Linked DNA regions of Canis lupus familiaris. The protein of the gene in region 2 purifies or fractionates together with the protein of the main gene of each other region. This does not show direct contact. Links are inferred from orthologs where the notes say so. Each region holds a gene or a part of one and is shown on either strand. Other genes may lie near its edges. The genes, in order: ARHGEF2, ANKRD28, PPP6R2, PPP6R3, PPP6C, AP2M1 and PPP6R1.

Region 1 (4,002 bases), on a different chromosome or scaffold from region 2:
GCTAGAGTAGCCACTTTGGGCAGGTAAGTGGGGAATCTTTATGCTAAAGATGGCAGAGATGTACTGACACCCTGTACTTCCCACTTGTGGACTAAAGAGAAATAATCTTCTATCTTGCTTAAGAAACTGATTTTTGTTGGTCTTTTTGTATAGCAGTTAGTTCACACTCTAATAAAAGTAAAAAAAAAGTAGATTAATGTCTCAACCCTGGTCTTCCTAGCTCCTTTTCAGGAGATACTACACACACACACACACACACACACACACACACACACACCACATGTGACACAGACCTATCCCCATTATTTTTACACCAGAGTTAGCATATACTCTACATTGTTTTAAACCTTGCTCTTTTTACTCAACAATACATTCTGGTTATGGATCTGCATTAGCCCTCATGAGCTTTCTAAACAGTTCCACAGGGGAATCCCTGGGTGGCTCAGTGGTTTAGCACCTGCCTTTGGCCCAGGGCGTGATCCTGGAGTCCCGGGATCGAGTCCCACATCGGGCTTCTCCCTGAGTGGAGCCTGCTTCTCCCTCTGCCTGTGTCTCTGCCTCTCTCTCTGTGTCTTTCATGAATAAATAAATAAAATCTTTAATAAATAAATAAATAAATAAACAAACAAACAAACAGTTCCACAGTATTCCATCTCGTGGGTGTATTATAAATTACTTAACCAGCTCTGGGGGTGGACTCACTCTTGATTCGGCGCAGGTAAGCCTCGTCCTCTGTCTCAATCAGGGGGAAGTCCTCTCTGGATGGGCATCTAGAGGGGTAACAAGTAGGGTGGGGTTGAGGGATCAGGAATCAGCCTCCTTCCCCCAAACACGCTCTGTGCTTCCCTATAAGACTCTCTAGCCCCATGCCCTGACTTCACTCCTGACCCCTATCATATTCTAGTGGACTATGCACCCTTCCATGGGCCACCTGCAGGGGTAGCACCGTGCAGATGGGCACTACAGGCTTTGGCGTGAAGCAGACTGGCCCAAATCCTGGTCCTGCCATTTACCAGGTGGCAGCTTGTCTATTTCTCATCTGAAAAATGGGTATGACATTTTTTCTCTTCACTGTTTTTTTTTTGTTAGAATTAAATAAAGAAATGTAACAATGCTTCAAGCATGGCAGAAGCTCAATAAATCGATGACAAAGAATATGAATTATGATTTTCACAATTACAAATATTAATACTGTTCAGAGAGGCCACCATGGATCCATTGTCAATGGAACAGGTATTTTGCACTGTTTTCCTACAACAGGCAATGTCATACTTTTGTATGAATTTCTGAAAAATCTGTCCAAAAGTCTAAGTTGCAGAAATATAAAAAAGTTTACACATTACAGAGTGGAGAAAATCCATTTCTAAAAGCTAAAAAAAATTACAAATATCCTGACTGAGTTCATTTTTTTTTTTGCATAATCTTCAAAAATCCATTTTGAATGTTTTACATGCGTTTTTTTCCGTTGTTTTTTGTTTGTTTGTTTGTTTTTTTAATCACAAGAGACACATAGTCAATGGCCTCAAAGCTTATGCACATCCCACAGAAGCTCAAAGTCCACTGCCTTGGCAGACTGAACAGTTTACTTCTTGTCTCAACTGGGTGAGGTTTGGCTCTAGTGTCAATGCCTCATTCCCTCTTTCATCCATTTTTAGAAAATAAAGGTAAAATGCAATACAATCCAAATAATAGCCCACTGCCTCCAGACTGAGATGTTTCTGTGCCTGATACTGTCCTGTTGGCTGGCAGGTGTGCCCCCATGTGACAGCTCAGGGTACCCCTCTGCTTGCCAGCTCAGGCTCCTGAAAGATGCTCGGGGTTGTCACGGTATGTCTGACCATCCAGGATACGATGGCCCTTGCCTCAGGACACTGTGCTTCTCTCCCCCAGCCTCTGCCTCCTGCTCCGAACCCCAGGCTCTTTCCCCGGAGCCTGCTGTGGCCTGGCTGCAGACTCCCTGAGGCCATACACACACTCACACGCGCACACTCTGCTGAATGACCCGGATCCAGGTGCTCCGGTCATCCCGAGATGCGGTGTGGACCTCATACATCTCAGGGGGCGCCGCACTGATCAGAAACATCCCTTTCTCCTGGTTGGCGATGTCCCGTACAATCAGATTCTGCAGTGATACCACTGAGGGCTTGTCCTGCAAGTCAGAATGGAAGGACTCAGCCTGGGAACCTGACCCTGGGATCTCAGGGTCTTCAGTCTTGCCAGAGTACCTGAAGGACTGAAGAGCCAGCCAGCAATATAAATTTAGAGTCCCTGGTTTTGGTGTAGCCAGAGGGGACTTAGGAGTGCATGTGACCTCTGGTGGGTTAATTAACATTAAGGTTTACCAGGGAACTTGGCTGGTTGAGTTGGGGGAGCATGCGGCTACTTCAGGGTTGTGGGTTCAAGCCAAACATTGAATGTAGAGAGTACTAACAAAACAACAACAACAAAAAAAAAAAACCACATAAAAAAAAACCCTTTAAGGTTTCCTCTCCTCATCTATAAGGAGGGATCCTAAGAGGCCCTCCTCACAGTCATAATAACCTGTTAGCTACTTCTATTCCTTATGATATTATAGCAATGGTCACAATAGCCATTTGACTCTGGAGGATTCTAGGGTTCCTTCCAGCTTGGGGAGAAAAGCAAGAAGAGGCTGTGATGCTTGTCCATGCCAGGAAAGGAGAAGGAGGAAGATCTCACCAGGGCAGGAAAGATGTACTTCTGGTCCTTCTCCTGGAGAAATACCAGCACGTCTGTCATCAGGAGCATGAGCACATCTGGCCGAGGGGACAAGTGGGAGAATGGTCAGCAGCAGAGGTCTGGGCAGCTGCCCACCTCTTTCTCAGGGTCCAGGCGTAACCTGTCCGTTCATGGCTCCTGAGGAGCCCCTTCCCGGCCTCTCTTCTCTCCAGGTGCTTCCTCTTACCTCTGTGGCCTCCACCTGCCCATTCTTACAGCTCAGAAATGCCAGGGGAAAAGATCCGTGTGCTACCAGACCAAAGAGCTTCTCGGCTAGAGAAGCTGCAGAGGGACACCCATGCATCTGAAGGAAATCCTCTTTGCCCAGCGGATGCCAATTTCTTAACCTGGGGCCTACAGACCCCTAGTATGTCCACTGCTGGGCTTCAAGGGCTCTGCAAACCTTCTGAAGTTGCAGAAGCAATTTTACATATTATTGTAACGCACACATGCGCTTTTCTGGGTGAAAGGGTCCAGAATTTTCATGAGAGTAAAATGTATTCCCGCAGCGGGAGGAGCCACCCTTTCAATTCTGTGCCTAGCAACTGACATAAGAGCTTTTCGGCTGTCTGACCTAAAATCCCCTGGCCCCCTGCAATGCCAGGGCTCAGGAGGCAGGAGACAGGCAGGCTTATCCACCCCTCCTGTCTTCTCAGACCCCAGAGGCACCTTGGCTGTCTTCTGCACCCCCTTCCAGCCGCTCCAATCCTGAGTCCCACACTTTAACTTGACAAAGGTCAAGTCCCTAAAACTCAGATGGCACAGCCAAGAAAACACAGGCTCACCCTTTGCCCTTGGATATCTCACTCAACTGTGGGCACATAGAGGGGAGGGCTTTCACTAAATGCTTCAGAAATAAAGCTCTCCAGCCCTGCTATTTTTAACCCCCATGGTTTATATTCTTAGTTGCTGTGTGGGAGGAACAGAAAAGAGAAGGGGATGAAGGAAGGCGCCGGTAGGCACCGCCATCCCCCAGCCTGTAAAGGGGGATTTCACAACAGGGACACAGCGGTGGGGGGGGGGGGGGCAGGCTCAGTCCCGGGGTACAGGCCTGCTGTAGCCAGCACTCCTCACACCCAAAGCAGGCTATTCCCTGTGTCTCACTTTAGGGAGGAAAGCTGCAGCCAGGGTGGTCTGGGGACAGGGGCTGGGCAAGTGTGACTCCCCACACACACCCCCACTGCTCTTTTCTCTCATCTCCATGCTGCCTGTCCTTCTGTCCTGCCCATCCTTCTGTCTGTCCTGCCTGTCCTCTCTGTCCTCCTT
Region 2 (4,002 bases):
CCTACCTCAAAAGATCTTTGTCAAACTAGTACCTTGGCTTTACAATGATAAGTGATAGGAGTAAGCTAAAATTATGTAGTACAGTATTTTTTAGCTTCCTACTGATCTTGCAGTTATCTAATAAATATTCACAAATATCAGAATGTGTTATAGTTTGTTGTCTCTACTTGGTACATTAACAGCATCTAATGTAGATTTGTATCTGTATACTCAACCGTTGTAGCAAGCCCAGTGAAGTGCTGTATATCCATGATTGTCTGCTATGGCTGGATTTGCATCCACAGATGCTGCTGACTGCAAAAGGGCTCCAAGAACACCAATATGTCCGCAGGCAGCTGACAAGTGTATAGGTGTCCGGCCCCTGCTATCTCGAAATAAGCACTTAGCACCATGTTGAAGTAATGCATCTACACATTCTTCATGGCCTGTAACTGCCTGAAAGAAAAAGCATTTGCAAGTAGTTGAATATATTATCTTGGGTACTATCTGCCAATTTTAGCTAATTAAAAAAAAATTTAAGCCTGTATTCCTCATATTTGTCCGTCGAAGTATTTATCATTTTTTGAATAATTCAGTATTTTTATTGGAATTGGCTTAAAAACCCATGAGCAGTAACTTTGTCAAAATACAAGTATTATGAAAAACAGGAATAAAGAACTTATAAATCTGTGAAAATAAAAAAGAAAAAGGTGAAAGGTTTCAAAGGTGAAAGGCAAAAATGTATAAGAAAACAAAAAACAAAAAAAAAGAAAACAGTTGTGATACTGAGAAAAAGTAAAACTGACATTAATTCTACTCAAGGTCTTACTTAGGGTTTTCAAATTTTGTTCCAACAGTACTGTTTCCTGGATTAAGTTGTGTTTCAGTAGTTTAAAATTATTATTCAAAAACTATTTGGTAAAAATCTGATGAAGAAACATAAACATAGCCTAGTTCAGTTTTAGGCAAAATGAGATCCTAAGAAATTTTTGAAAGGCAATGAGAATATTTTTACTTACCCCTCTATGCAATGCTGTCCTTCCCCATTTATCTTTGGCATCTACATTTGCTCCTTTGTTCAGCAATGAGTAAACACAGTCTGTGTGCCCATTGAGAACAGAGAGCATCAAAGGAGTCCTGAGCAACAACAGAATAGGTTCAGTGTTACTACCTAAGACTCCACTTTATGAAAAACAAACAGTTGTGCTGGCCCGTTTTCTAAACATGCCTTTTTGTAATGCAACTTTAAAGTATACTTAAATGGGAAAACTAAACTTGCTATTATTCAGTTACATACCATAAGAGACTTACTAGAATAGAGGCAAAAGTATGAAGATTAACACACATCTTAAAATTAATTTAAAAATTATTAAAACTTACTGTCCGTTTCCATCTTGAATGTCTACTGCATTCTGTGGTTCTGCATTTCCTATAAGTAGCCTCAAGCACTCTGAATGACCATTTGTTGCTGAAAAGTGATATTTTAATATTTCAGAAATTACAATGGTAAAATAGAAAATTTCCATCTTAGGGCACATTTTCTAGATATAACTGTGGGATAGTTTCATTGAATTTAATAGTCAAAGAAAAAATACATACATACAAAGGTTTCTATTGCCTTTGTTGGTGAAACTGAATAGATATAAATTCCTCATGGTAAATTACGGCCATCTGCCCTGCTAATAGAATGCTCATTTTATTTGGCTTTCTGGGGGTGGCAGAGTGATCAAGGGAAGGTGGCCTGCCTTCAGCCAAGGGATGAAACTGTGATTAGATAAGTCCATCACAATTCTGTTCTTTGCCAGTGACTGGTTTTAAGATGAGTGCTGGTCCAGTTCTGGCCACTGAGATGCTAAGAAGTTTGAGGGCTTGTGGGAAATATGTTTATCCCCGATAATGACCAATCCTTCTCATTCTGTGCCATGACTGAAAAGGCAAAAGAACAGAGTGTTCTGACACCATTGCTTAATCAATCAATCGTGGAGCTGACTCTACCTCTGAACATCTTATGTGAGAGGGTAAACACTTGTCATTTAAGCTACCTTTTAGTTGGGTACTATGAAAGAATCTCAACTGATAACATGTATAATAAGAAGAAATGATCTACCTAAAGATGGCATTTATATGTCCAAACACATAAAAAATGGGCAAAGGTATAAAACAGAAGTAGCCTAAAGAAAACAGTAAGCTTTTAAGGTAAGTTAATCCCCTGCAAAATTCAGATCCTTCCCATAATACAATAAAATTTGAAGTTTAAAGTAGTAAGTCACATAATGATGAAGAAAGGAATATCTATCACTGTTCTTCCTAATTAAAAGAAGACAAAATAATGAAAGCAAGCTAGGTGCCCTAATATGCCACAGTACCTTCTAACAGCTATATTTAATTCTAATAGTTATTAATTAAAACAAAATCACTCCTATATATATGCTAAACTTTGCCAGCAGCTCTCATAGTGATCAGTAACAGCTGTCACTGAAGCATCTCACTTGGGGATGCATGAAGGAAACTGTTTGTCCCGGCACTTCTTAATGGACCCATGTGTACTCAGTACATAGTAGCTCCTGAGGAGTTTTGTGTTTTCTAAACTCAATACCTAAAACATCATGTCTAATGCCAATATAGGAGAAAACTTTTTTTCCCTTTTGGAAAAAAAAAATCGCAATGTCCTCTTCATGACTTATGAATAAAGTGCTCCATAACAATCTCCAAATTTAAAAGGTATCTATAAAACCAGGTTTGCATTTATTATATAGGTGGGCATCAATAATAACCTGTAGCAGCTAGCTTTTCCAGCAGATGAGATGTACAGACTATCTGACATTGGTCAGCCACTGAGGGACTGGCTAGCGTCTTTTTTTTTTTTTTTTTTTTTTTATTTATTTATGATAAGCACACAGTGAGAGAGAGAGAGAGGCAGAGACACAGGCAGAGGGAGAAGCAGGCTCCATGCACCAGGAGCCTGACGTGGGATTCGATCCCGGGTCTCCAGGATCGCGCCCTGGGCCAAAGGCAGGCGCTAAACCACTGCGCCACCCAGGGATCCCTGGCTAGCGTCTTGATTCAATACTGACCAATTAAGTGTGCACCACTCCATGAAAGCTTTATAAATCACCTCTGCAAATGATCTGTGGTTACAACATAATTTTTCAAGTTGCAGAATGATATATAAACTTCATTTTTTTCAGAATAAGATAATAGAAAATGATTGCATTTTGACATAATTCTGAACATATAGTAGTTTTTTGGTTGTTTTGCTTTTTGAAAGATTTTATTTATTTATTCATAAGAGACACAGAGAGAGGCAGAGACATAGGCAGAGGGAGAAGCAGGCTCCCTACAGGGAGCCCGATGCAGGACTTGATCCCAGGATCCTAACCTGAGCCAAAGGCAGAGGCTCAACCACTGAGCCACCTATGTGTCCCAACATATAGCAGTTTATATATACACATTTACTAGGAATTTTAATCCATTTAAAAATTTTTTGGTTTTGAGTCCTGCTTGAATATCTAATAGTTTCTGAAAGGCTACTTTGGAGCAACAGCTGGTGTTACCTTTAGGAAAATGCAAGTTTCCTAAAGGAATAGAAGTCCAAGACCCATATTAAAATATGTCCTTAAAAATCACTCTATTAAAACAGACCAAGTGAAATGAATGTAATCATATAAAAGAGGCCTACTGGGTGTGAAAAAAAATACTTAGCTAGGATTTCTTCCAGTATACCACAGTCTTAGATATTTAAGATAAATACTGATTTGCTAATTCTCGTATAGAGTTGTGAAACTGAAATACAGCAGTACCAAGTCATATAATGACATGGTTACATAATTTTGCATTTTCACATATTTACAACATCACAAAATCATATGGTAGAATAGATCTTGCATAAAGTAGGTGCTCTGTAACTCCTGTCTGACTACATGTTTAACATAGCACTCTGGTGGGGATCCCTGGGTGGCGCAGCGGTTTAGCGCCTGCCTTTGGCCCAGGGCGCGATCCTGGAGACCCGGGATCGAATCCCAC
Region 3 (4,002 bases), on a different chromosome or scaffold from region 2:
AGCAGCTCTCTGAGGTGTGAGGACCCCCAAACCTGGGGAGGGCACACGGTCAGAGCAGCCACCAGCCAGCTCCGCACGGGGCACCCAGGCGCCGCCCCTCCTGTGTACGCACAGCATCGTGCCAGGGCAGGGCTAGGGGTGTGCACACTGTTCTGCGGCCTCTGCCTCAAGGGGCCTGGGGGACCGGGGGGGCCTCACACCTGGCTCTGGCCGTCACCCGGGCCATGCAATGCATCTCCTTGTCCTCCCAGATGTCATCTTCCTCGTCATCGTCAAAGGGCTGGATGTGGTCACTGCAGCAAGCCTCAAACAGAGCTGCACTGGGCTGCAAGCATGAGCACGCATGTGATCACACGCGGCTCCCAGCGGGGCTCAGCCAGGCAGGGGGCGCTCAGGACGGGGCCCAGGCATGAAGCAGCCCTGTATCTCGGGCTGCCCACCCACCCAGAGCTGGGGACTCACCACCCACCCAGAGCTGGGGACTCACACTGTCCTCATCAGCATCGATGCTGAAATTGATCTCTGCAATCCTGTCGAAGGGGGCACTGCAATACACGGGGGGCACTCAGCACGTAGCCGCCAGGGCCTGCGACACCCCACGGACTGTTGTGCGTGCCCCCGGCTGCACCTCGCAGGGAAAAGAGCCAGGCCCACAGGGGTGGACGTGTCTGCAGGCGGCCACGTGGTGCAAGCAGACAGGGACCTTGATGGAGGGGGTGGCCCCTGCCCTCCTCCCTGGGCCCACTCTGTCCCTGGTCTGCACGGTGATGACTTGCCTTCCTGGAGGTGTCCCAGCTTGGCCCCTCCCACAGTGACTCTGAGTCACACTTGCTTTCAGCTCAGGAAGTGGCCAAATGGCCTCCAGGCCCAGGCAGGACAGGGCCACACCGAGGACTCAGCTCCTCCCAAAATGGACAGGGGACAAGGTAGTGGGCAGTGATGACGGATCCAAATGGGGCTCCCGACCAAGGTGGGCAGCTGGGACACGGTGCCCCGGGCACATCCTGGGAGCTCACTTGACACTGTCATCCTGGTCGGCAAACTCCTCGTCATTGAAGCCAAACTGGTCCACGAAGGTGGCCGTCATCTGCTGGACCTGGTACTCCGAGAAAGCCTGGCAGGGGTGGCGCAGGGCAGGCCTCAGACCGAGGCCGCTCCCAGGGAAGCAGCAGTGCCTCGCGGCTTCTCCCAACCTAACCTCTCGGGGGAACACGAACGCAGGGTCGTGTCCAAACAGCCTCGTGTGTCTCACGATCATCCACTGGGTGGCTCGGGCCCCCCCTCGTTCAAGGGGCTGCACACCTGGCCCCTCCCCTGCTGGAGCCTGGTGCGTGGGGACCAGCACGTTCCCCTGGGCTGCTTCCTGCTGCAGCTCAGCAAGGCGCTGGGCAGGACGGCCTGGAGCCTGAGTGCCGCCGAGGGCGGGAAAGGGCTGCCTGAGTGTGCAGAGCGGCCACACGCACCTGCTGCAGGGACAGCTCATTAGGGAAAGCGCCCTCCATGTCCTCATCCTCACTCGAGGGGTGAAGGTGGTGGGTGCTTACCTGAAACAGCCAGAGCGGGTGGATGTGAGCCCCGTAGCCTGGGGGCTCCTACCCCCGCCCCTCCCCGCGGTGTAGCACACACTGGGCCTGGGGCACCAGGAGCCCCAGGACGCAGCAGGGCGCCTGAGGGGTCAGGGGAGGGGCTGACACCCGCTCTGCTGAGGCGGTAGGGGCCCCAGGACCTGGAGCCGGACGCGGAACCAGGGACCCACTGCACCTGGCTGGGCCACAGGGGTGCACACGCACACACGCACGCTCCACAAGCACCCAGGAGGGCGTGGCCCCAGCGCCAGCCAACACCGAGCAGCAGCACAGCCGAGCCCCTCACCAGGTCCACAGCGTTCCTGCGATTGGTCTCCGCCAGGGTCTCCTCCACAAAGTTCTCCCAGCGCCCTCGGCAGTCCGCGGGGAGCCCTGCAAGGGAGCAGTGCTGGGGAGCCAGGGGACGGCAGCAGGGTGCACAGGGCGGCTGCTGGAAGGGCGGCCAGGGGTCCCGCAGGGGCGCTCGCAGGGCGGGGCCCAACCTCAGCACCGGGGGCTGCAGCCTGGCCGCATCCTCCGCCCTCCCCAGCCCTCTCAGTACATCCCATGCACCTGTGTTCTAGAAAGTTCACAGCTGAGTGACGTGACACCAGGATAGAGAGCTGCTGGCTCACCTCCCGCACCCCAAACTGTCCCTCCGTGGGGAGCCTCCTCGGGCCAGACACTAGCCTGGAGGCCATGGACCGAGCACAGCCCCTTGCTCCCATCCTGGACGGCCACCCAGAGCTTCTGGCCAGAGGGACCACAGCAAGGACTCTCTTGGGGGCGGGGGGGCAGGCAGCCAGTGAGCCAAGACCACAGGTCTACACCTGCTGCACAACCAGCCTGGAGGCTTCCAGTGTGGCTTCCTCAGCTGCACAATGGGAGATGGGCTGAGCACCTGCCCGTGCCCTCTCCACGATCAGGGCACTGGGGCCCTGCACAACCATCTCCCCACACCCCTGGAGGGACCCCACCAGGCGGCTCAGCCTCTTGTGTGAACACCATTCACAGGGCACAAGATCCCACCCAGGGCTGAGGAGGACGGTCCTGATCGTGAAGCTGCTGTGAACACAGCCCCAGCGCCCTGGGGAGGTCCTGGCTTCTGCCCACCCTTCGCCTCCTCGGCTCACTCGTGCATCCCCCCATCTGCCCACTGCGAGCTCCGGGGCCTCTCCACCCCCCTGCTCAGGCTGGCCCAGGCATCGTCCACCCTGGCAGGGCCACTCGGGCCCTCCCAGCTGCCTGCCTTCCGGTCTAACCAAGACCCCCTTGGGCCCTCTTCAGCTCACAAGGCCCGGCACCCAAGGCCTGTAGACCTTGGCCAGGGCATGAGAGGGCCAGAAAGAGGGGTGAGTGTTGGCCCCAGGCTGGGAGGGTGGCAGGTGTCTCGGGCTGAGGGCAGAGGTGAGGCCCAACCAGAGGAGAGGCTGCCTCGGCTCAGGGCCCACAGCCCCCTCTTGGAGCACAGAGGCCACCTCCCCCGGCTCCCCAGACTTGGCTGGAAAGATCTGCAAAGCTGCTTGAGGCAGAGGGGGGTGGCGTCCAGGCAGGCCTCGGGGTCCCTGGGTAGAGCACAGTGCTGGCTCCGGAGCCACGAGCTGCCCCGCAGGCGCCTGACAGGGTCTCTGGGCACAAGGAGGACCAACCTCGTGACCCAGGCCCACCTGGGAAAGCATGTCCTGATACCACTTGCTGGGGGGGCTCAAGGGCAGAAGGTGGCAGTCAGGGGTCACAGGCAGCAGCAACACCCACCACAGGGCTCCTGCTGCCAGGAGGGCAACGAGGGCAGGGAGGGCTCACCTCGGATGACCTCGCTGATGTGGGTCTGCATGGGGCCCCTCTCTAGATTCTGCACCACTGCGTTGGCGATCCGGGTAAGGTGGCCCATGTTGCCGCGCCTCATGCCACCCGCTGCCCTGAAAGGGAGTGGCAGCATCAAGGGGACCACTGGGTTTTCCTCCTTTCCTCCCTACGCATCCCCAGGGCCTGACCTTTGCCCCCTGTGGGTCCTTCCTCGCAGCCTTACCTGCGGGCCCCTTCTGTTTGGAGAGCACCTGCTGTGTGCCAGCCAATCACTCCAACCTCACCAGGAAGTGCTAACGAGGCAGATGCCACCGCCCCCAGCAGCAGGGCACGTGGGGCCTCAGCGCCGTGCCCCTCGCCCCACACCCAGACACCCCTGAGCTGTCCGGCTCCAGAGGCCCTCCCAGCTTCGCCCAGGCTGGCTGACCCGAAGGAACACCCAGTGGGGCAGAGGACTTAGACGAAAATGCAGGACATCCCTGCTCTGTGCTGATGGGGGCTGACCGAGCACAACACGGGCAGGACACAGACGTGGGTGGGGCCGGGGCGGCTGGGAGCCAGCCAGTCACGGCCCCCGACTGAGCTCCGTGCACCCTGAGGCCCACAGCCTGGCTGCCATCCACGTTCCCAT
Region 4 (4,002 bases), on a different chromosome or scaffold from region 2:
CGCTGCCTTTGGCCCAGGGCGTTATCCTGGAGACCCGGAATTGAGTCCCACATCGGGCTCCCTGCATGGAGCCTGCTTCTCCCTCTGCCTGTGTCTCTGCCTCTCTCTCTCTCTCTCTCATGAATAAATAAATAAGATCTTAAAAAAAAAAAAAAGAAAAGAAACAGCCTTATGCCTGAAACATGCTAAGACACACACGCATGCTCCAGCAAAGCAAATTCCAAAGGACAAAAGAACTTGGTACCAGCGAGGCTTGAAAACACTGACACGCCTAATTCTGATTTTATTCACACTGGGCATTGCAGGCAAAGATGTTCTTCTTTTCTGGGTCTGTTTCCATTTCTGTATATTGATAGGACTGAACAACTGACCACTTAGGTCCCTAATGCCTTCTAAAATCACCATGCCATGGTTCTGGAATGAATACACAATTTATCAGTTGCCCTGAGGACATCAGACCTACCACCTCAACTCCCTGAGCCCTTTGAGCCCTTGAGCCTAAGAATCAAGACTAGCTTTATAAACTGTTATGTAGACAAAAGCAACTCTTCAGATCTAGAAAACTAAGCATACAGTCAAAGCCTGAACAACAGTCAGGTGAAAGGCCAGCAGGCTGGGTCAGCTGGTGCCCTGCTCTCCACACCCACCTTCAGGCTGCGCAGCCAGCGTGCCAACGCTGGGAGTCAGAGGGCCCATCGGCTCAGTGCTGGTTTCCATTTCCACTGGAGAATTACTCCTTAAAGAATCTTTTGTACTTTTAGAAAAGAGAAAATTCAGATGTTAGCAGTGGCAAATAGCCCTCAGTTACCATGATTCATTCACAAAAACCCTTTCAAAGTTGTAGGCTCGCTGGGGTGACAGGAGCAGTCTGTCACAGACTCCAAGTACACAGAGATAGATCTAGGTGCAGAGGGCTGCTTGCAGAGCAGGTGAGCGCAGGCAGGTAAATATTCTGCTAAGTCAGTAGGATAGGAGCATGGGGATTTCGCAGAGGTTTGCAGACAGGTTCAAAACGCACCAGTCTCTCATCCTCCCCCTCGGTCCCAAGGGCTGGGACAACAGGGGCTGACACTGTGCACCATCAACTGTACCTGCTGTGATTTTTACAAAAATCCCTACTTACCTTGAGCCAAACTGCCTGAGGGCCTTAGTGATATTTAACAAGAAAACATGACCTGAGCACAAGGGGTAAAGGGCAGCAAGCTTCCAAGTAACCAGGGGGTCTTATCCTCTAGTTACAAAAGACAGAAAAAAAACAAGAGGTGGAAACCCGACTGTTCAGTGCTGGAGTGGAGTTAGTGAAATAACTTAAAATACTTTGGAGACATTTCCCACAACCTCACTTTTGCCCCTGACAATGGCTTCCTGCTATCCTTGAAACTGCTGTAAAGCCACACAGGTGTCAGCCAGCCCCCTGACTGTTGAAGATGGTAACCGTGAGCTTGTGATAGTTCACGCTCCCATCTTGCCTATTACCAGTGATTAGTTAAAAAACACACTTTTTTGCTCTCCATGACAGCACGGAGAGCAACAAAGTCTTTTAAATGTGTAGTTGAGACAAAACAATGTTTAGCAAATCAAACTAAGCCTAGTAAGACATGAAATCCATGGTTAATATTCAAATGCTGGCAATATTATTCAGGAAAATTATGAAAAGATAGGTTGCTGTCAACAAAAATACTACAAATAACAAGACTGACAGCCATCCTATCACGCCCTGTAATTTACAGCACCAGATTAGCTACAAGTGAAATGCAAGCTCAGAGTATCTGTTAAATTCAAGATACACTGTGCATTCTTCTGTAACACTCCACACAGAGGTGCCTGTCAGGAGCTCTCGCTCTATCCTGTTTCTATCCTCCTCAATCCTGTTTGTTTTCTGATGGTCTGCACCCTACTATATAACCTCCTGGGGCCCTATCTTCCTGGGCTACTATGTGTACACAGCCCACTGCCTTTCCCAGCTCACCTGGATAAAAGGAATATAGAGACTAGTTTCCTTGTTAATCCATAACTGTGTCGCTAGCTCCCCTGTGCTGATTTGTGACTTAGCGTAGAGCATTATCTTCATGTAGGGAGTAAATCAAGGTGAGAGACAATGTCTGCAGCTGACCCCGTCCCCTTTCCCAGTTCTCCTATGGAAGGTTCAGGGAGCGAGCACACACACACTCACCTCAGGGAAGATGTGAACTCTGAGAAGGAGGCCCAGCCCGTCTCCTTAGTTGGCACCGGCTCCTCTGTGCTCCAGACATCAGAACCCACGGAATCTAAGGGAGCACCATGAGTTGTCTCCATGGGGACATCAAAGTTGGCTGACCAGTTGGGTGCTAAAAAGAGAGCAGAAATCTCATTTTGAGAATACTTCAGAAGTTCAGTGCAATCCAAGATATTTTTCAGAAACATTTGCAAGGAGGCAGCCAGAGTGGTGGGGACAGGGCACTCTAACACACCCCTGATAGAGGTGGAAACAGCAGAATCAGTGTCAGGCAATGTGATAACATCTATCTTATTATAAAACTGTAGACTTCCTTTAATCCCTAATTCCCATTTCTAAGATTTTTTTCTCCACCAGAAATATCACACGAGGATGCAAAGATACATATAAAAGAATATTATAATTTTTCTTTTTTTTTTGAGAATATTAGAATTTCTTACTTTGGACAAAGGTACCAAGATTATATGAACACCAGGAGGAAGATGGGCGAAGGAAGGGTACACAGCCCCAACTCCCTGTATAATCTCTGCAACTTTTCTGTAAATCCAAAGTTATTCCAAAAAAAAATTTTTTTAAGCAGAATGTTGTATATTCAACTGTAATAAACTGGAAACTTTAAATGCATCTCAATCCAGATGTGGCCCCACTTCATACTTTTAATGGCCTTCCCACAGTCCACTGTAGCTAACACAAAGAGGAAGACTTCTGGTGACACAAGAAAAAATACATATTTGTGTTCAGCTCACCACCACCTCCAAACCCTTGGAATCTCTGAAGTAGTGTCTTGTATGCTAAAGAGATGACTGGTGGCCTCAAGATGGGGCTCAATACTGGGCAGGCTGCCAGGAGAACTAGCCTGGGGTTAGAGGGCTAGAACTTTTATCCCTATCCCATAGCCCACCCTCCTAGGAGGGAAGAGGGGCCAGAAGTGGAGAAAATCACTAATGGCCAGTTATTTGATCAAAAGTACCCATTTAATGAAGATTCCATAAAAAACTCAAAATTTCAGGGGTTTAGAGCTTCTGGGCTAGTAAACAGCAGGTGGCACACCCCAAACTCCATGAGAACAGAAGATCCTATGCTCAGGACCCTTCCTGACCATATCCCTACTTCTCCTTTCATCTGGCTGTTCACCTCTATCCATCAAAACAGCCTCATGGCACGAACTGCTGACCAAGGTTGGATCTAACCTGTAGGTCTGTTTTAACGTCACTTCCTCGGGGATGTGTCCTTTCAGGTGAAATTGGGTCTGTTTATGTGCTCTCACTGCACACCATGCTAGGCTACACAGAAATGACCTTCCCAGGGGAGCGCCCCAGAATCTACCACAATCTCTCCATTCTTCAGGAGACTCTAGACTCTAGATGGAGTCTGTGTTCCACATCTGGCACATAGCTGGATCTCGATAAAGGCATGTGGACTCGAACTGAATTAATAGAGAAAAGCCCACTTTTTCCTCCTGAAGATGGTGAGCTGGGAAAGCAATGAGGAGAGAGGCCAAACCTCTTTTCCTCCATGGCTCTCGCTTTCCAGGTCTGTCCCATGGGGCTGTGCTGGGTTAATATTAAGGTCCTGGCCAACTCTGCAGTAGTGAGGTCCACTTGATGCCCAGAGCTAGCTTTTAGCCTCCAGGACTAAGGACACAAAGGCCTTCCCCAGGAACATGAAGCACTGTCAGCCTTGAGGAAAGCTCCAGTGTCAACCCACACGGCTCTTCCAAATAAAAATGTACCTGGACTTTCAGAAGTTAACAGGCATTTTTTTTAAAGTCCAGTGAAAGCAAGTCG
Region 5 (4,581 bases), on a different chromosome or scaffold from region 2:
TAAAAAATAACTGTCCAAGAGATCAAACTACCCCGAAGTTACAGAACCCTTTCCCCACCGAAATTCTTAAGTATTCAGTAAACCTGCTTTTTATCACCTGACCAGATATGAAATTTCTATCTCCCAAGATCCTCTCTGAAATCTTTATTGTGGATGAGAACCACCTGAGCTTTTTTTTATTTTTTAGAATTTATTTATTCACGAGAGACACAGAGAGAGGCAGAGACATAGGCAGAGGGAGGAGAAGCAGGCTCCACGAAGGGAACCCGATGTGGGACTCGATCCTGAGACTCCAGGATCACACCCTGGGCTGAAGGCAGACACTCAACCACTGAGCCACTCAGGCGTCCCTGAGTTTTTTTTTTTTTTTTTTTTTTTTTTTTTAAGGAAGGTTATGCTTTGGCCTACTCACTTTCATGTATTTCAACTTTATTCCTACAAAAGTTATGCAGATTCAATGACGTACTAATGATTCGACCACTTCCAATCTAGATATAGAGAAATTGTAATTAAATATAAAACACCCGATGTACTTATTATTTTATTTAGTACCTCCAATTTTTAGTCAAATTAAAAACACAGGCAAATTGCTGTATTCTTTTCTACCAGAACAAATCTTTTCCATCATGACCATTAAGTGGCCCCAATTATTTTTCTTCCTCTGACAGAATCTTTTATTTTGGCTCTAAAGCCTCAGAAAAGGTGCTCCTGGAATACTTTCTTGGCTTATCTAATTTTAGTTTCTATTTCATGCCAAGAAGTAGAAATAAAATTAAATTTGTTTAAAAATATACCAGACATGAACAGCACAACTAAATTAATCTGATAAAACCATTTCCAAGACAAAGAAGAGCCTTCACTTACAGAGAAAAATTCAGAATCCTTTTTTCCCATTAATTGTCCAGAAGATGGGGGGTGGGGAGTTATTAAGAAACAGAAATACATAAGTACAGTCCAATAGTGTTGCAAAGGGAAATGAAATGGTTTAATAACTATATTTCCTTAAGGTGGGAAGGAAATTCAAAGTTTATCAAGCTACAAGATCTAAAGAAAATCCAACTAATTATCTTCCAAATCATTTCAATAGCCAATCTCAAGTTAATATCAAGACATACTATAATAATCAACATTTTATTAATTAAAAACACAAAGCCTAAAAACAGCTTTACATGTACTAAAAAACAGAAAATTCTACATCAAATCACTGATACAAGAAAATCAATGTGATACATGGAATTAACAATGCTACCAAAGGACAGGTGGTTAGTTTTCCATGAATTAGGTCCCAGTGTTGGTTATATCCTCATTTCCTCAAAAAAGCATAGAACGGAAGGAAGCCACAAAACTAATGTGGACTCAGATGAGCATAAATAAAAGCTACGTTGCTAGTACTGGCTTTGTCCTTTTTTTTTTTTTTTTTTTTTAATTTATTTATGATAGGCACACAGTGAGAGAGAGAGGCAGAGACACAGGCAGAGGGAGAAGCAGGCTCCATGCACTGGGAGCCCGACATGGGATTTGATCCCGGGTCCCCAGGATCGTGCCCTGGGCCAAAGGCAGGCGCCAAACCGCTGCGCCACCCAGGGATCCCCTGGCTTTGTCCTTATTTTAATCAAAGTATCGTATTAAAAAGGGAGAAATGCACAAGAATGACTCCCCTATCACATAGCACCTATAATTAACATGTAAGTACAATTAAGTCACATCCATGAGAGCTGATGTGACCTTAAACATTTTGCATATACCTGTTGACTGATGTCAAATATCAACTTCTGTGTGAACAGAACAAAATAAATCTCTTCCTTAAAACAATTTGCAAAGATAAATCGCTGTAAATCCACAGATGAAAGGGGGCAAAACCAAAAAAAAAAAAAAGAACTCAAAACTACCAACAGTTTACCCACTTAACACAGAGTAAATCAAAGTTAACTGAAAAAGCGAAACAGGCACTAGCACTAACCTCTGAACACTGTCACACACCTAAGCACTGTGCATACAAACACTTCTCAGAAAAGGAGTATACACGTTCCCTTTCTCTTACGTCCATTCCTTTACTCACACATGCATCTGCTGTAACTTGGCCTAGGCAGAAGCAAGGAACAACTCGTCCTGTCCTTTGGGAAACGAAGAAAAGGAAACCTTCGGTTAATAAGAGATTATGAGCAAACAACTTAAGGGGGCAGAAAAGTACGGAGGGCCTACTACTTTTTCCACTGAAACTGGATCAACAACGGACAGGAAAACCGGTTCACATCTGAATTAACCCCAAGTCAAGCAACACTCCTGACGAGCACCTGGGACAAGGGGTACGGAAAGAGGGACGACCTGACGTTCTCTGACGTCACTGCCAGGCAGCTCTGGCCCACCGCCGTCTTCGCCTTCCGCAGGGACCTAAACACACCGGGGCCGGTATCTCCTGTCAGGCGCCCGCCACCCCGCGCTCCTGTCACCACCTCTGGGGGCTGACCCCATTCCGACAGTACTGTCCGTGAGGGCTCGGTCGGGCTCCGAGAAACCGGCGTCAGGGTGACGGGAGAGAAGTCCTCCTAGCAGAGCTGTCAGGGCTCGGAGCCCTGGGGTAGCCCGAGGCCAGGAGGCGCAACCCTTGGGCAGAGGCCGCGCACCCCCGGGGATCCCCACCGAGGGCACCAGGACAGCACTCGGGGCACTCGGGCTCCCCGCTCGCCGCGTGACGCCCGGTCGGATCCGGTCACTTGGCCCCTCGTTAGGCGACCGCCGCGACGGGATGCCGGCGGGGGTCCCGCGGAGAGAGGAAGGGCCGGCCGGCGGGCGCCCCACTGCCGGAAGGGGCGAGCCCGCAAGCAGCGCTCCCGCCCCGGCCGGGCTCACCTTCAGGTCGTTCTCCGGTAGGTACTTGCACAACCGCGCTATCTCCACATACTTGTCCAAGTCTAGGGGCGCCATTTTAGAAATAACAAGCCCCGACGGCGGCAGCGGCAGCGGCTGAGGCTCTAGTAGCGGCGGCGGCGGCAGCGGCGGAGGCCGAAGCCGGAACTCTTCTTACGTCACGTCCGGTCCGTGAGAGGCGTCTGCGCAGCGGCGTCAAACTTGACCCGCTTCTCCCCGCTGCCTCTCCTTGCCCCACGCTCTCTCCCGCGGAACCCCGGCTGCAAGTCCCTAGAGACGTCCCTGGTCCGGACAGTGAAACCTGCGGGGACCCGTAGTTTTCTGCCGCGGGGAGTACTGGGATTTGTAGTTTTCAGTAGTGGCCAGCTACCCCACTTTTTCTCTCCCCCTCGCCCCCCTTCGTTTAGACCTTCACTTCTGTGGGCCCAGCGAACCTTTTCCGATGCAAAAAGACAAAGTAGGTGACCGAAGCCATTCCTTGGTTTCTCACTTCGACCCTTTTAAGCATTCTCTCACCAGAACATCTTCATTTAACAATTGGTAAGCCTGGCCGTAGTTAACCTGTTTGCATCTTTTCAAGTCCTTGTGAAAACCTTGCCTATGCTTGTGGCAGAGACATCAGGTACCAGTCTTTCAGCATGGAAGGGAAGGGAAACAATGATTAAGGATTTCTTATGCTAAATGCCATATAAATGCTGTTTTTTTCCGTTTAATCCTCATAACAGTTGATAAGAAAGCAAGGTTCAGAAAGCTTAAGCAACTTGCCCCAAAACTCACAGGAGCTAGGTAGGGGAGTAGAGACTGGTCTACCTGGTTTAAACATGCTTCAGTGTGAGTCTCATGAGGACAGGGAGTCTTTTGTTCTACCCTTAGTGCAAAAAACCCAGGACCTGGCACTTAGTGTAACTTCAACATTCATTGAACAGCTATTTCTTGAACACCAATTGTATGCCAGGTACAGTTGTAGGCATTTAGGATATTTATTTTTTATTTTTTATTTTTTAAATTTTTTTTTTATTTTATTTATTTATGATAGGCACACAGTGAGAGAGACAGGCAGAGACACAGGCAGAGGAAGAAGCAGGCTCCGTGCACCAGGAGCCTGACGTGGGATTCGATCCTGGGTCTCCAGGATCACGCCCTGGGCCAAAGGCAGGCGCTAAACCGCTGCGCCACCCAGGGATCCCCATTTAGGATATTTAGCAAGCAAAATAGACAAAGATCCCTATCCTCAATTGGTAACTACATTCTAGAAGAGGAGCAGAACATAATAAATAACTGTATTTATTAGGAAATGATAAGTGCTAGAGAGAAGGAAAAAAGCAGCAGTGTAAGGGAGATGGGGTGATGCATTTCTAAGAACCAACAGAGAGGTAGAGGAGTTAGCCATTCAGATGCTTCAGGGCAATTACATATGGAGGCATATCTAGATGGAATTTTGTTGGGAGGTTCTAGCAGGGGAGTGCAGCTACTGGTATACCCTTGACCGAAGAACAGTCCTCCTCTACCAGGGATGGTCGTCCTCTTCCACCGAGCGCACAGCTTCTCGGGAGGGACACATATGGAGCGGTGAGGGAGGAAGGGGACACCCGCCTAGCCAGCCAGATCAGCTGAATCAACCCTGGCGATCAATGGGGTGACAGATGTCGCAGCCAGATGGCCCTCACATCCTCTAGATGGAATTTTGGAAATGACAAGATTAGTGTGGTTGAG
Region 6 (4,673 bases), on a different chromosome or scaffold from region 2:
CCTACCACCAGCCAATGGACAAACAGCCACAAAGGCCAGGCCAGCCCACTAGCCAGGGAGCTGGGAGCCAAGAAGCTATTGGGCTCTGCAGCAGGCCCATCCTATAACTCTTTAACCTAAGCTCTTGGAGGAAGAAAAACAGGGCAGCATGAACCAGAGATGCCTAATCTCATTAGAGCTGCTGAGGCTAGGACATGTCCTCTCATTCAGGAAAGAATAGTGGCATGCAGTGTGGGGCAGAGTGAGAAGGCAGGCTGTGTCTCTTTGCTAAGGTCTGAGGGACCTAGAACAAGGAGCTATTCCGGGTCTACTCTGGTAGGCCAGGAAGGGCAGCATGGCCTCCCTGCCCTTCCTTCAGTGACCCGGAGAGTGCCCCAAGCTTGCTCACAACCTCTCTTCTAGGAGTGGCCCAGAGGAACTGAAAACAGCTGAGTCAGCAGCCTGCCTCCTCCTGAGAAAGGGAGTAGGAGAGGATTTGGCAGCCTGGAGAAGCTTTCAAGAGAATTCAGTGAAGGCTCTCACCGTGAGAAGGGCTTTTGAGAGCAAGACTTAGATGGACTAGTACCACTAGCCTGTCCACTAACTTCACCCCCTGGAGAAAGATCTCCCTCCTCCTCAAGGGAGGAATTCATCTACCAGGGCAAAAGCACTCATTTCTAGCAACTAGGTCTGTCACTAAGGAAAGGAGAAGGCAGGAAGGACAAGAGTTCCTAAGACTGTGGGGGGCCACACCATTCCACAGGTCCCACCTATTGGCCAATAACTGGCTGCCAGGCCAATACCACCAGACCTAATGGGAACCAGATTGTATTAGCTGAGCTTCTAAGATGCAGCGAGGGATGGGGGTGGCCAAAGTCCAGTCTCTGGTAGGAACGGACCTGGTCCTGCATGCTGGGGAGGAGGGATGAGGGGTGGGGACACAGCTGGCTCAGCCAGGGGACTCACCCGATGTCATCTCGGTAGACCCGGGAGATGAGCACCTCCCCCTTGTGATTATAGATGAATAAGCCTCCAATCATGGCGGCAGCTCAGTCTCCAAGGCCCATCGCTCTGAGAACAGACCTAGGACAGGCGGAGGCAGGGTAAGGGAAGGCCTCAGAACCTCTGCCAACATCCCCTGTGGGGCTGTGCAGGTCACTGGCTGGGCTTTTTTTCCTGACTCAACCCTCCAGTAAGTGACCCTGAAGCCCTCCCCAGGCATGCCCCTCCCCTTAGCCAGGCTCCAGTTCCTGTTTATCTCACACTGGAAAGGAGAAAGAAATGGAGAGGGACTTGGGCCCAGGATTCTAAGGCCATTTTGACCCTCCCTTTCCTGGGGCTGAGCCCAGAGTGTAGCCCCCTCCCCCTCTTTTCAGTGCTGAGCTCAGCACAGATCCTTTTTGGCCCCTTCCTGTGCAGACTCTCACTCAGACTCTAGCCGGTGAGTCACTGGGAAGGCCTGCCTGCGGCTGCAGGAATGGCGGTAGGAATTATTCCACTTGGTTCAGGCCTGGGGCCCCCAGGCACGGCTTTAGGAGCACCCGGTCTCTCAGGCTCCACTAACCCTTCGGAGAAGACAGCAGGGCCTGAACCTGTGGCTCTCTAATTCACAGAAGTCTAAACATTCCAGGAAAGGGTGTGCAGGGTGTGGGGAGGAGACAAGGGAGGCCTTAGGCCCTGACACAGACCCTGGAGTGTGGCTCCAACCAATCCCAGGCAGTCAGATAAGCAGGCAAAAGAGCAGAGGAGAAAGGGCCCAGCCTTGGCCGACTACACTTCAATGACCCAAGCTGCTTATTAGTTATTTTTAACCACCTCCCTTTCAAAAAGGGAGGATCCCTCTCAGTTCCCAAGTGCAGTAAAAATAAGGGGGTGGGAGTACAGGTTTATAAAACACAAAGATCAATCCAGCTGACATTCTATGATTCCAGAACCATGACATAACTCATTTCTGGCCTGAGTACCTATAAGGAAGGGGCAGAGAATAGGTGTGCATTATCCAAATTATTTGGGTCAAAATATTTGCAAGGAGAAAAAGGGTTAATTTAATTCTAGATTTCCTGAATTAGCTCTGGTATTGATTTTACAGGGCAGAGGGAGTTTAGCAGACTTTTCTAAACTGGAAAATAAAGCCCTATTACTGAGGCCATCAGGGTCTCCCCAACTCAGTGAGAGGTCTCTCAAGGTGGTGGTGGACACATTCCACCCCAGAGTCCCAAAAAAGGCTGGGAAAGGAAATGAAAAATGGGAGGTAGAGCCCCGGGCAAAGAAGCAAGTTCACAGATATCAAGTGGTAGGGGCCGCAGGGCACCGAAGGAGCGGAGGTGGGGCCCAGGGCAGGAGGGGAATACTGAGCTAAGGGGAAGGACGGGCAGAAGGAGCCAGGCGGTCTAGTCAGGTGAACCTGCAGCAGCAAGAGGGCTGGGGCTGGGGGCTGGGGGGCGGGGGGGGGGACGGGGACATCTGGAGGAAGGAGTTTCCAGTGTGGCAAAGGTCAAGACTTTGAAACAGCAGGGAGGAGACTGACAAGTGGCGAATAGGGGAAAGCTGGGGCGGCGTTAACTTGCTTTAGGGTTCAAGTGTGGAGGCATGACGGGGGGTGGGCTCTTCGTCTAGGGGAGCAAGACATCGCGGGGATGAACATGGCTCCACGGGGCTGCGGGGGCTGTCACAGGTCTGAGGAAGAAGAGCCGAGGGGTGTCACTCAACTGGGGGGAGGGGGTGCGGCTGGTGGGAGGCCTGTCACAGCCCAGGGAGACGGCCCGAGGGGGTGTCACCGTCGAGGAGATGGGGGAATTGTCCTTGCGCTGGGAGGAGGCGGCGCCAAGGCACCAGGGGGGCTGTCACGATCCCGAGGAAGGGGGCGCCGCGCGGCATCCTGGCTCCGGGGGGACCCCAGGAGGTCTCCCTGTCACGGAAGGCGCCGGACTGCCGGTGGAGGGCGCCGCTCCCTGCCCACCCTGCAACCGCGCCCCGGGCGCCCCCGCCCCGCCGTCAGCTCCAGATCAGAAGGCTGAGGCCCCTCCCGGCTGTGGGCAGCTTTTCGCGCAGCGCAGTGCAGGGAAGGGCAAAGCTGGGTAGCGGGGTACGCGTTCTCCCTTACTCTCCGCCGGATTCCGAGCTTACCTGGCGTCCGCGGCCGCCTGCTCGGCCCGCCCGGCCACTCTCCAGATCCCAAGATGTCCGCCCGCCCCCTGCTCGCCAGCCCGCTGCCTCGGCTTTCACCGCAGTGCCGTGGCCCCGCCCCGAACACAGTTGCGCGTGCGCGTCCGGCGACCGAGCCGACTACAAATCCCGTCAGGCCCTTCGGCCTTCTAGCTTACAATTTTAGCCTTTCTAGGTTTAGGAAGACTACAACTACCGACTGCCTTCAGCGGGTTAGGCGTGCCTTGGGGAGGGATAGGCGTGGCCACATCCCATCATACTCCGCTCCACTCGCTTCATTTTCCCTACCGAGCATTCTGGGAATTGTAGTCTGCAATCCATCCTGTTCAGCGTCTAGGAGAGCTTCGGAGGATTAATGCCATTTGTTGAAGCCCATCTGTTAAGCTTGAGATTGCTGTAGGCCTTTTCCGTCTCTGGAGTCCGAACACTGGCTGTGCTCACTTTACACACACACACACACGACTTGGCAGAAGTGTTTGCACTAAATTTACTGCTTTCTAACACCAGCTCTGATTTTCCCAAGACTTTTCATCAAATATTTGTTCCAGATGTGAGCCTCTTCCCAGGGATCAAGACCCAAGTAAAAGGGCAAAGATGGAGGAGGCAAATACTTGTAAGAAACTAGCCAAAGCTTTTCAAGAATGTCTGTTCTATCCCAACTACACATACCTATGTGACCCCTTGAGGCCAGGACCTGTGTGCCTTCTAGTGATGGCATATATGTTGCTTAAAAAACTGCTGGCAAGTTTAGCTGGACATGGAACTTGAAATCCCTTCTCTAATGAACAGAGTTAATCTTCACACCCAAGCTGAGAAGAAAAGACAGAGCAAACCCTCAGATATGAAAGCCCTGCTTGACTTTTACAGGACCCGAAGAAAATGTTAGCTCTTCTCTTTCTGTACGGAGAGCTTCCCTTATGCCTTCACTGGTGCTGAGCCCATCATGGGAGGAAGGGCAAAAAAGGGCAAACCTGGTTACAAACCCTACTGTCCCAGCATCCTCCTGCTAGAAGCCAGAATGTGGCAGGATGAAGATCTGGCCTTCCTCAAACAGTGGTCACCATGTGAATCCATTAAGTGACTGAATACAGGCATTTCTAAATCTTGAACCGGCACTCAGATCTTCACTGCTACCTTTCCAAAAGCTTTATCTTCAATCAATAATACCCTACCAATTTAGAATAAATAATAATAGTAGTAGTAGTAATAATAATAGCTACCATTTATTGAGCACCTATTCTACTCTGTGCCAGGCACTGTGCTAGGCACTTTTCGTACAAGTCTAATTTAAATCCTCACAACAACCCTGTGAGGTAGGTATTATTATCATCATTTTACATATGAGGGAATTGAGGCTCAGAGAGATTAAGTAACTCTCTTATCACGAAACCAAAAAGTAGTAGAGCTGGGATTCAAGCCCAGAACAACCTGACTCCAAATCCCGTGCTCCTATGAATTAGGGTAGAGGCGGGGGGAGAAGAAGGACCATATTCAAGAAAGACTGTTGAAGTGGAATGGATATGATATGC
Region 7 (4,002 bases), on a different chromosome or scaffold from region 2:
ACCCCAAGGGGCAGCTGAGGCTCCTCCTGCCTGTCCCTGGACCCCACCCCTTGGCTACCCCCTGCCCGCCCTCCAGTGGTCCCTCTACTTTCCCTCAAGGCATTACCAACTCCTTCCTCAAAGTCACCCCTTCTACTCCAATGGCACTTCCTCCAGGGACCTTACAGAGGATGGGCTCCCTCCCAGACCACCTCCTGGCCAACCTCGCTCCCACCCCGACCCGAGCTCCCCTCCAGCTTTGCTGCCATAAACTTGCTCATCAATTTGCAAAACGGTAGAAAACTCTTATTTTTTTTTTCTGACTACAAAAAGAACAGATGCCTGTGGTAGAAAACTTGGTAACTAAAGAAGAAAGTTGATGACTGCAACACCAAGTTAAATTGCTATTGCTCAACAAAGCAGCTGTAGAAGTCACCGAAAGCTCAAGTTCTCCTGTAAGCACAGGGCCTGGTGGAGGGCTGGGGGCTGCTCTGGCATCAAGGGGTCATCCCACCAGCTACACACGCAGCTGACTCCCCAAGGAGGGGACAGAGGAGCCCCAGCTGGTCGCTCCCCATGCTGAGCCCAAGTGCCAGGACTGGTGGGACCAAGGAGGACGCAGGAAGCCTGGCAGAAAGTGCCACACGGCCAGCGAGTACTCGTGCTCCCACCTGCTGTGTTCTCACCCCTGCTCGCCTACAGAAGAGCACACTCACTTCACGCTTTCTTCCTGCTCCCCAAACTCCTCATCATTGAAGCCAAAGTGGTCGATGAAGGCTGAGGTCATGCGCTGCATCTGGAAGTCCATGAAGGCCTGTGGAGGAGCAGTGGTCAGGGATGGGTGGGGCCAGGCAGAAAGGGGCAGGCCCCTGGCCCCCAGCCCACCTGCTGCAGTACTGCCTCCTCGGGGAAGTTGAACTCCTTGAGCCGGTCGTCCTCATCATCGCTGGAGGAGTGCAGGTGGTGCGTGCTCACCTGGGGCATGGGGGCAGGCAAGGGGTGAGGGCCAGGATGGCAGGGTGCAGCCTCAGGGAGGTGCAGGTGGAGAACAGAACCGCGGCAGAGAGCTGCGGTGCCTTACCAGGTCCACCATGTTCTTCTTGTTCGTCTCGGCCAGGGGTCCGGCCACAAAGGCCTCCCACCGCTCCTGCTGCTCACCCGGCAGTTCTGTTCAGCGCAAAAGAGACAGGACGTGAGGCCCCCCGCCACTACAGCCAGCAGCCCTGCCCCCAGCCCTGGGGCGACACCCTCCCGGACCCTCACCCTTCAGCAGCTGCCCCAGCTGCTCAGCATTGGGCCCCTTCTCCGTGTTCTGCACCAGGGCGTTGGCCAGTCTCGTCAGGTGGCCCATGTAGCCTTTGCGGGGGCCCCCGGTAGACCTGGGCAAGATCGGAGGCCGCAGCTGGACATGGGCCCATGCGCCCCCGCCCCGCCCTCCCCAAGGGCAAGAAGTCCAGGGGCCGCTCACTGCACAAGGTCGTTCTCTTCCCAGGATGTCAGGATGCGCTCCACCAGGCGGCACTGCTGCAGGAGCTGTGAGGGCAGTGGAGACAGTGGGGGCACCGGGGACATGGGGGCAGGGCCAGGACGTGCCCCTCCCAGCACCCAGGGGGATTTACAGAGGAGTGGGAGGGGGGGTGGGGGCCATGTCCAAGGCCCTAGGCTATAACCCAGGAAGTACCTCCCCTAGAGTAGCATCTGTCACCCCAGAGGACACTGCTGCCCCCTGAGGGCTCCCGTCTGCACCCGCCTGCACATCATCCTCCATTTCTCCCAGACAGACCTAAGGACAAGGCTGAGCCCCTGGCCCCCAGCATGTGAGGCCACCTAGAGAAGGCAGAGGGATACAGTGGGTGACCCACAGGAACAGAGTGGGGTACCCGGGAACCCCAGCTTACATGTTTCACAACGGGATTTGGGACAGGCATCTCAAGGCTGCTGTCGGAAGGAGGCCCAGCACTGAGCATGGCACTCACACAGAACTCCACTTGGGCATGCAGGAAGTTGTTGAACATGTAGTGGAAGAAGAGGTCCTGGGGGGCGGGCAGTGGAGGCTGGCATGGAAAGGCCCCTCATCCACCCCTGCCCAGGGCCCCCTCCACCCCCTCATCCCCATCCCGCCCTTCCCCACCCTGCCCGGGCCCTCCACCCCACCCCACCCCACCCCACCCCCTTCTCCGCACCAGCATGGTGTTGGGCACATCCAGTGCCAGGAGCTCCTGCGTCAGGGCTGGGTCGTTGGCGCTCAGAGCGCTGGCCAGCAGCTTGACCACATGCAGCCGAGTATTGCCCAGAGGCGGGGCCAGGTTGCCCCAGGTAGTACGCAGTGGCTCCAGCTACAGGCACATGGGAGGCTCAGTGCCACCTAGAACCGTGGGGCTGCCCTCCCTGCCACCCTACATCCTTGGACTCCCAGCCTACCTCAGGGGGCTCAAGCAGAAGCTGGTGGAAACGGCTGAGCCGTGGGCGCAGGGCGTGCAGGGCGCCCACACTGGACATGCTGCTATCCAGGGTCGCCTGGGCCAGAAGCTCCAGCTGCCCATCCACACTGCTAAAGAAGTTGTTCACGGTCACAGACTCGGACCTGCAGGGGGGACAGGATGCAGGGCCTGTGTGCACGCATATGCATATGTATGGCACATGTGGAAGGGAGAGACAAGCTGCTTCCTGTGGAAGTACAGCGTGCACGGGGGGAGGGGGGGGGATGCCCAGGGATCATGGGCCTATAGGGCCCTGGACTCGGCCAGTCAGCTCAAAGCTACAGGTGGTTTACATGGCCTCAGACAGGAACTGAGAACTCCTCTCCCAAGACCCTAAGTGGTGGGATGCCTGGGTGGCCCAGCGGTTGAGCGTCTGCCCGACTTGGGGTGTGATCCCAGAGTCCAGGATTGAGTCCCACATCGGACATCGGGCTCCTGCGGACAGCCTGCTTCTCCCTCTACTTGTGTCTCTGCCCCTCTCTCTCTCTCTCATAAATAAATAAAATATTTTAAAAATACAAAAAAAAAAAAAAAAAAAAAAAAAAAAAAAACCAGATTCTTTAAAAAAAGACCCTAAGTGGCCACCAAGAAGGGGATGCTGCTTGTAGATGACAAGTCCCCACACCTTCACCCCTAAAAAGAAGGAGAGGGTCTCTGGGGGATGGCAATAGCTGCCTGGGGAGGCAGGGCCCCCTCACCTTGGCCTTCGGGGTTCCAGCAGGGTCAGGAGCACCTGGATCCCGCTCACAATGACAGACTGGCTCTGCTCTCCCTCCAGCATGTTGCTCAGGAGCTGTTCAATCGTCTCCTGCCTGGAGCAGGGGTCGGGACAGGGGATGAGGGTGGGGTCGGGGTGGGGGTCATGGTGAAGGGCCCCGGACATCTTCCCGCCCTAGGCCTTGGAACCACAAACCCACTTCTCCAGGGTGGTCAACAGCTGGTCGGGCTCTAGGCTGTCTTGGACCTGGATCATCTGCTCCCGGCTCAGGCGGATGATGTCGCACAGGGATTGGGATGCATTGGAATGTTGCTGGGGAGGCAAAGAGAGAGCTGAGGATGCCAGCCCAGCACCTGTGCCCTTCATGTCCTGGAGCTGACCGCCCCACCCTTAGGAAGAGGAGTGGAGGATCACACAGACAGGGAGACACAAGTGCCAAGGCAAGGAACACAAGGCATCAAATATCAGGAAAGAAGACGGTGAGAACCTGGGAAACCAGGAAAGTTTCCACACCATTTGCTGTAGCCAAAGGAGGGAACAACCACGAGGTCTACCAACTGGTGAGCACACAAGCTACTGTGACTCGTCCATGCACCAGCACTCCACTGCATGGATACACACGGAACACCCGGTGCTGACGCAGGGGCCACACAGCAAGACCAGGCACCATGTGATTGCATTCACAATAACAAGTCCAGCAGAGGCAAACCCCAAGGCAAAATGCACCCTGGGAGTGGTGGGCCCATGAGGGGAAGGGGCAGCTAAGGAGCACAGGCTTTCCTTCGTGGAGTAAGGAAAAATTATTCCCAGATCCACAAGGTGATA

The links.
Region 1: the proteins of ANKRD28 (region 2) and ARHGEF2 purify together in Homo sapiens (affinity purification with mass spectrometry; 3 studies listed by BioGRID and IntAct, with this or other methods). This does not show direct contact. The link is inferred for Canis lupus familiaris from reciprocal best matches to the Homo sapiens genes ANKRD28 and ARHGEF2.
Region 3: the proteins of ANKRD28 (region 2) and PPP6R2 purify together in Homo sapiens (co-immunoprecipitation; 4 studies listed by BioGRID and IntAct, counting the BioPlex papers as one, with this or other methods). This does not show direct contact. The link is inferred for Canis lupus familiaris from reciprocal best matches to the Homo sapiens genes ANKRD28 and PPP6R2.
Region 4: the proteins of ANKRD28 (region 2) and PPP6R3 purify together in Homo sapiens (co-immunoprecipitation; 3 studies listed by BioGRID and IntAct, with this or other methods). This does not show direct contact. The link is inferred for Canis lupus familiaris from reciprocal best matches to the Homo sapiens genes ANKRD28 and PPP6R3.
Region 5: the proteins of ANKRD28 (region 2) and PPP6C purify together in Homo sapiens (affinity purification with mass spectrometry; 9 studies listed by BioGRID and IntAct, with this or other methods). This does not show direct contact. The link is inferred for Canis lupus familiaris from reciprocal best matches to the Homo sapiens genes ANKRD28 and PPP6C.
Region 6: the proteins of ANKRD28 (region 2) and AP2M1 purify together in Homo sapiens (affinity purification with mass spectrometry; 3 studies listed by BioGRID and IntAct, counting the BioPlex papers as one, with this or other methods). This does not show direct contact. The link is inferred for Canis lupus familiaris from reciprocal best matches to the Homo sapiens genes ANKRD28 and AP2M1.
Region 7: the proteins of ANKRD28 (region 2) and PPP6R1 purify together in Homo sapiens (co-immunoprecipitation; 4 studies listed by BioGRID and IntAct, with this or other methods). This does not show direct contact. The link is inferred for Canis lupus familiaris from reciprocal best matches to the Homo sapiens genes ANKRD28 and PPP6R1.

The regions. Positions count from the first base shown.
Region 1 is NC_049228.1:41,826,993-41,830,994, reverse strand, and holds part of ARHGEF2 (rho guanine nucleotide exchange factor 2), read right to left. Parts: intron 2,775-4,002; coding exon 2,698-2,774; intron 2,150-2,697; coding exon 1,980-2,149; intron 771-1,979; coding exon 703-770; intron 1-702. UniProt on the Homo sapiens protein: Activates Rho-GTPases by promoting the exchange of GDP for GTP.
Region 2 is NC_049244.1:27,505,441-27,509,442, reverse strand, and holds part of ANKRD28 (serine/threonine-protein phosphatase 6 regulatory ankyrin repeat subunit A), read right to left. Parts: intron 1,448-4,002; coding exon 1,360-1,447; intron 1,117-1,359; coding exon 999-1,116; intron 436-998; coding exon 216-435; intron 1-215. UniProt on the Homo sapiens protein: Regulatory subunit of protein phosphatase 6 (PP6) that may be involved in the recognition of phosphoprotein substrates. Involved in the PP6-mediated dephosphorylation of NFKBIE opposing its degradation in response to TNF-alpha.
Region 3 is NC_049231.1:17,754,740-17,758,741, forward strand, and holds part of PPP6R2 (serine/threonine-protein phosphatase 6 regulatory subunit 2), read right to left. Parts: intron 3,485-4,002; coding exon 3,369-3,484; intron 1,959-3,368; coding exon 1,873-1,958; intron 1,545-1,872; coding exon 1,464-1,544; intron 1,115-1,463; coding exon 1,017-1,114; intron 546-1,016; coding exon 488-545; intron 326-487; coding exon 201-325; intron 33-200; coding exon 1-32. UniProt on the Homo sapiens protein: Regulatory subunit of protein phosphatase 6 (PP6). May function as a scaffolding PP6 subunit. Involved in the PP6-mediated dephosphorylation of NFKBIE opposing its degradation in response to TNF-alpha.
Region 4 is NC_049239.1:49,801,492-49,805,493, forward strand, and holds part of PPP6R3 (serine/threonine-protein phosphatase 6 regulatory subunit 3), read right to left. Parts: intron 2,328-4,002; coding exon 2,174-2,327; intron 755-2,173; coding exon 648-754; intron 1-647.
Region 5 is NC_049230.1:57,968,972-57,973,552, reverse strand, and holds the start of PPP6C (serine/threonine-protein phosphatase 6 catalytic subunit), read right to left. Parts: upstream 3,110-4,581; 5' UTR 2,926-3,109; coding exon 2,851-2,925; intron 2,467-2,850; exon of another isoform or gene 2,239-2,466; intron 1-2,238.
Region 6 is NC_049255.1:17,241,386-17,246,058, reverse strand, and holds the start of AP2M1 (AP-2 complex subunit mu), read right to left. Parts: upstream 3,225-4,673; 5' UTR 3,106-3,224; intron 1,063-3,105; 5' UTR 1,020-1,062; coding exon 946-1,019; intron 1-945.
Region 7 is NC_049222.1:103,182,411-103,186,412, reverse strand, and holds part of PPP6R1 (serine/threonine-protein phosphatase 6 regulatory subunit 1), read right to left. Parts: intron 3,490-4,002; coding exon 3,377-3,489; intron 3,272-3,376; coding exon 3,158-3,271; intron 2,564-3,157; coding exon 2,401-2,563; intron 2,316-2,400; coding exon 2,163-2,315; intron 2,013-2,162; coding exon 1,878-2,012; intron 1,513-1,877; coding exon 1,448-1,512; intron 1,359-1,447; coding exon 1,243-1,358; intron 1,147-1,242; coding exon 1,061-1,146; intron 955-1,060; coding exon 865-954; intron 794-864; coding exon 696-793; intron 1-695. UniProt on the Homo sapiens protein: Regulatory subunit of protein phosphatase 6 (PP6). May function as a scaffolding PP6 subunit. Involved in the PP6-mediated dephosphorylation of NFKBIE opposing its degradation in response to TNF-alpha.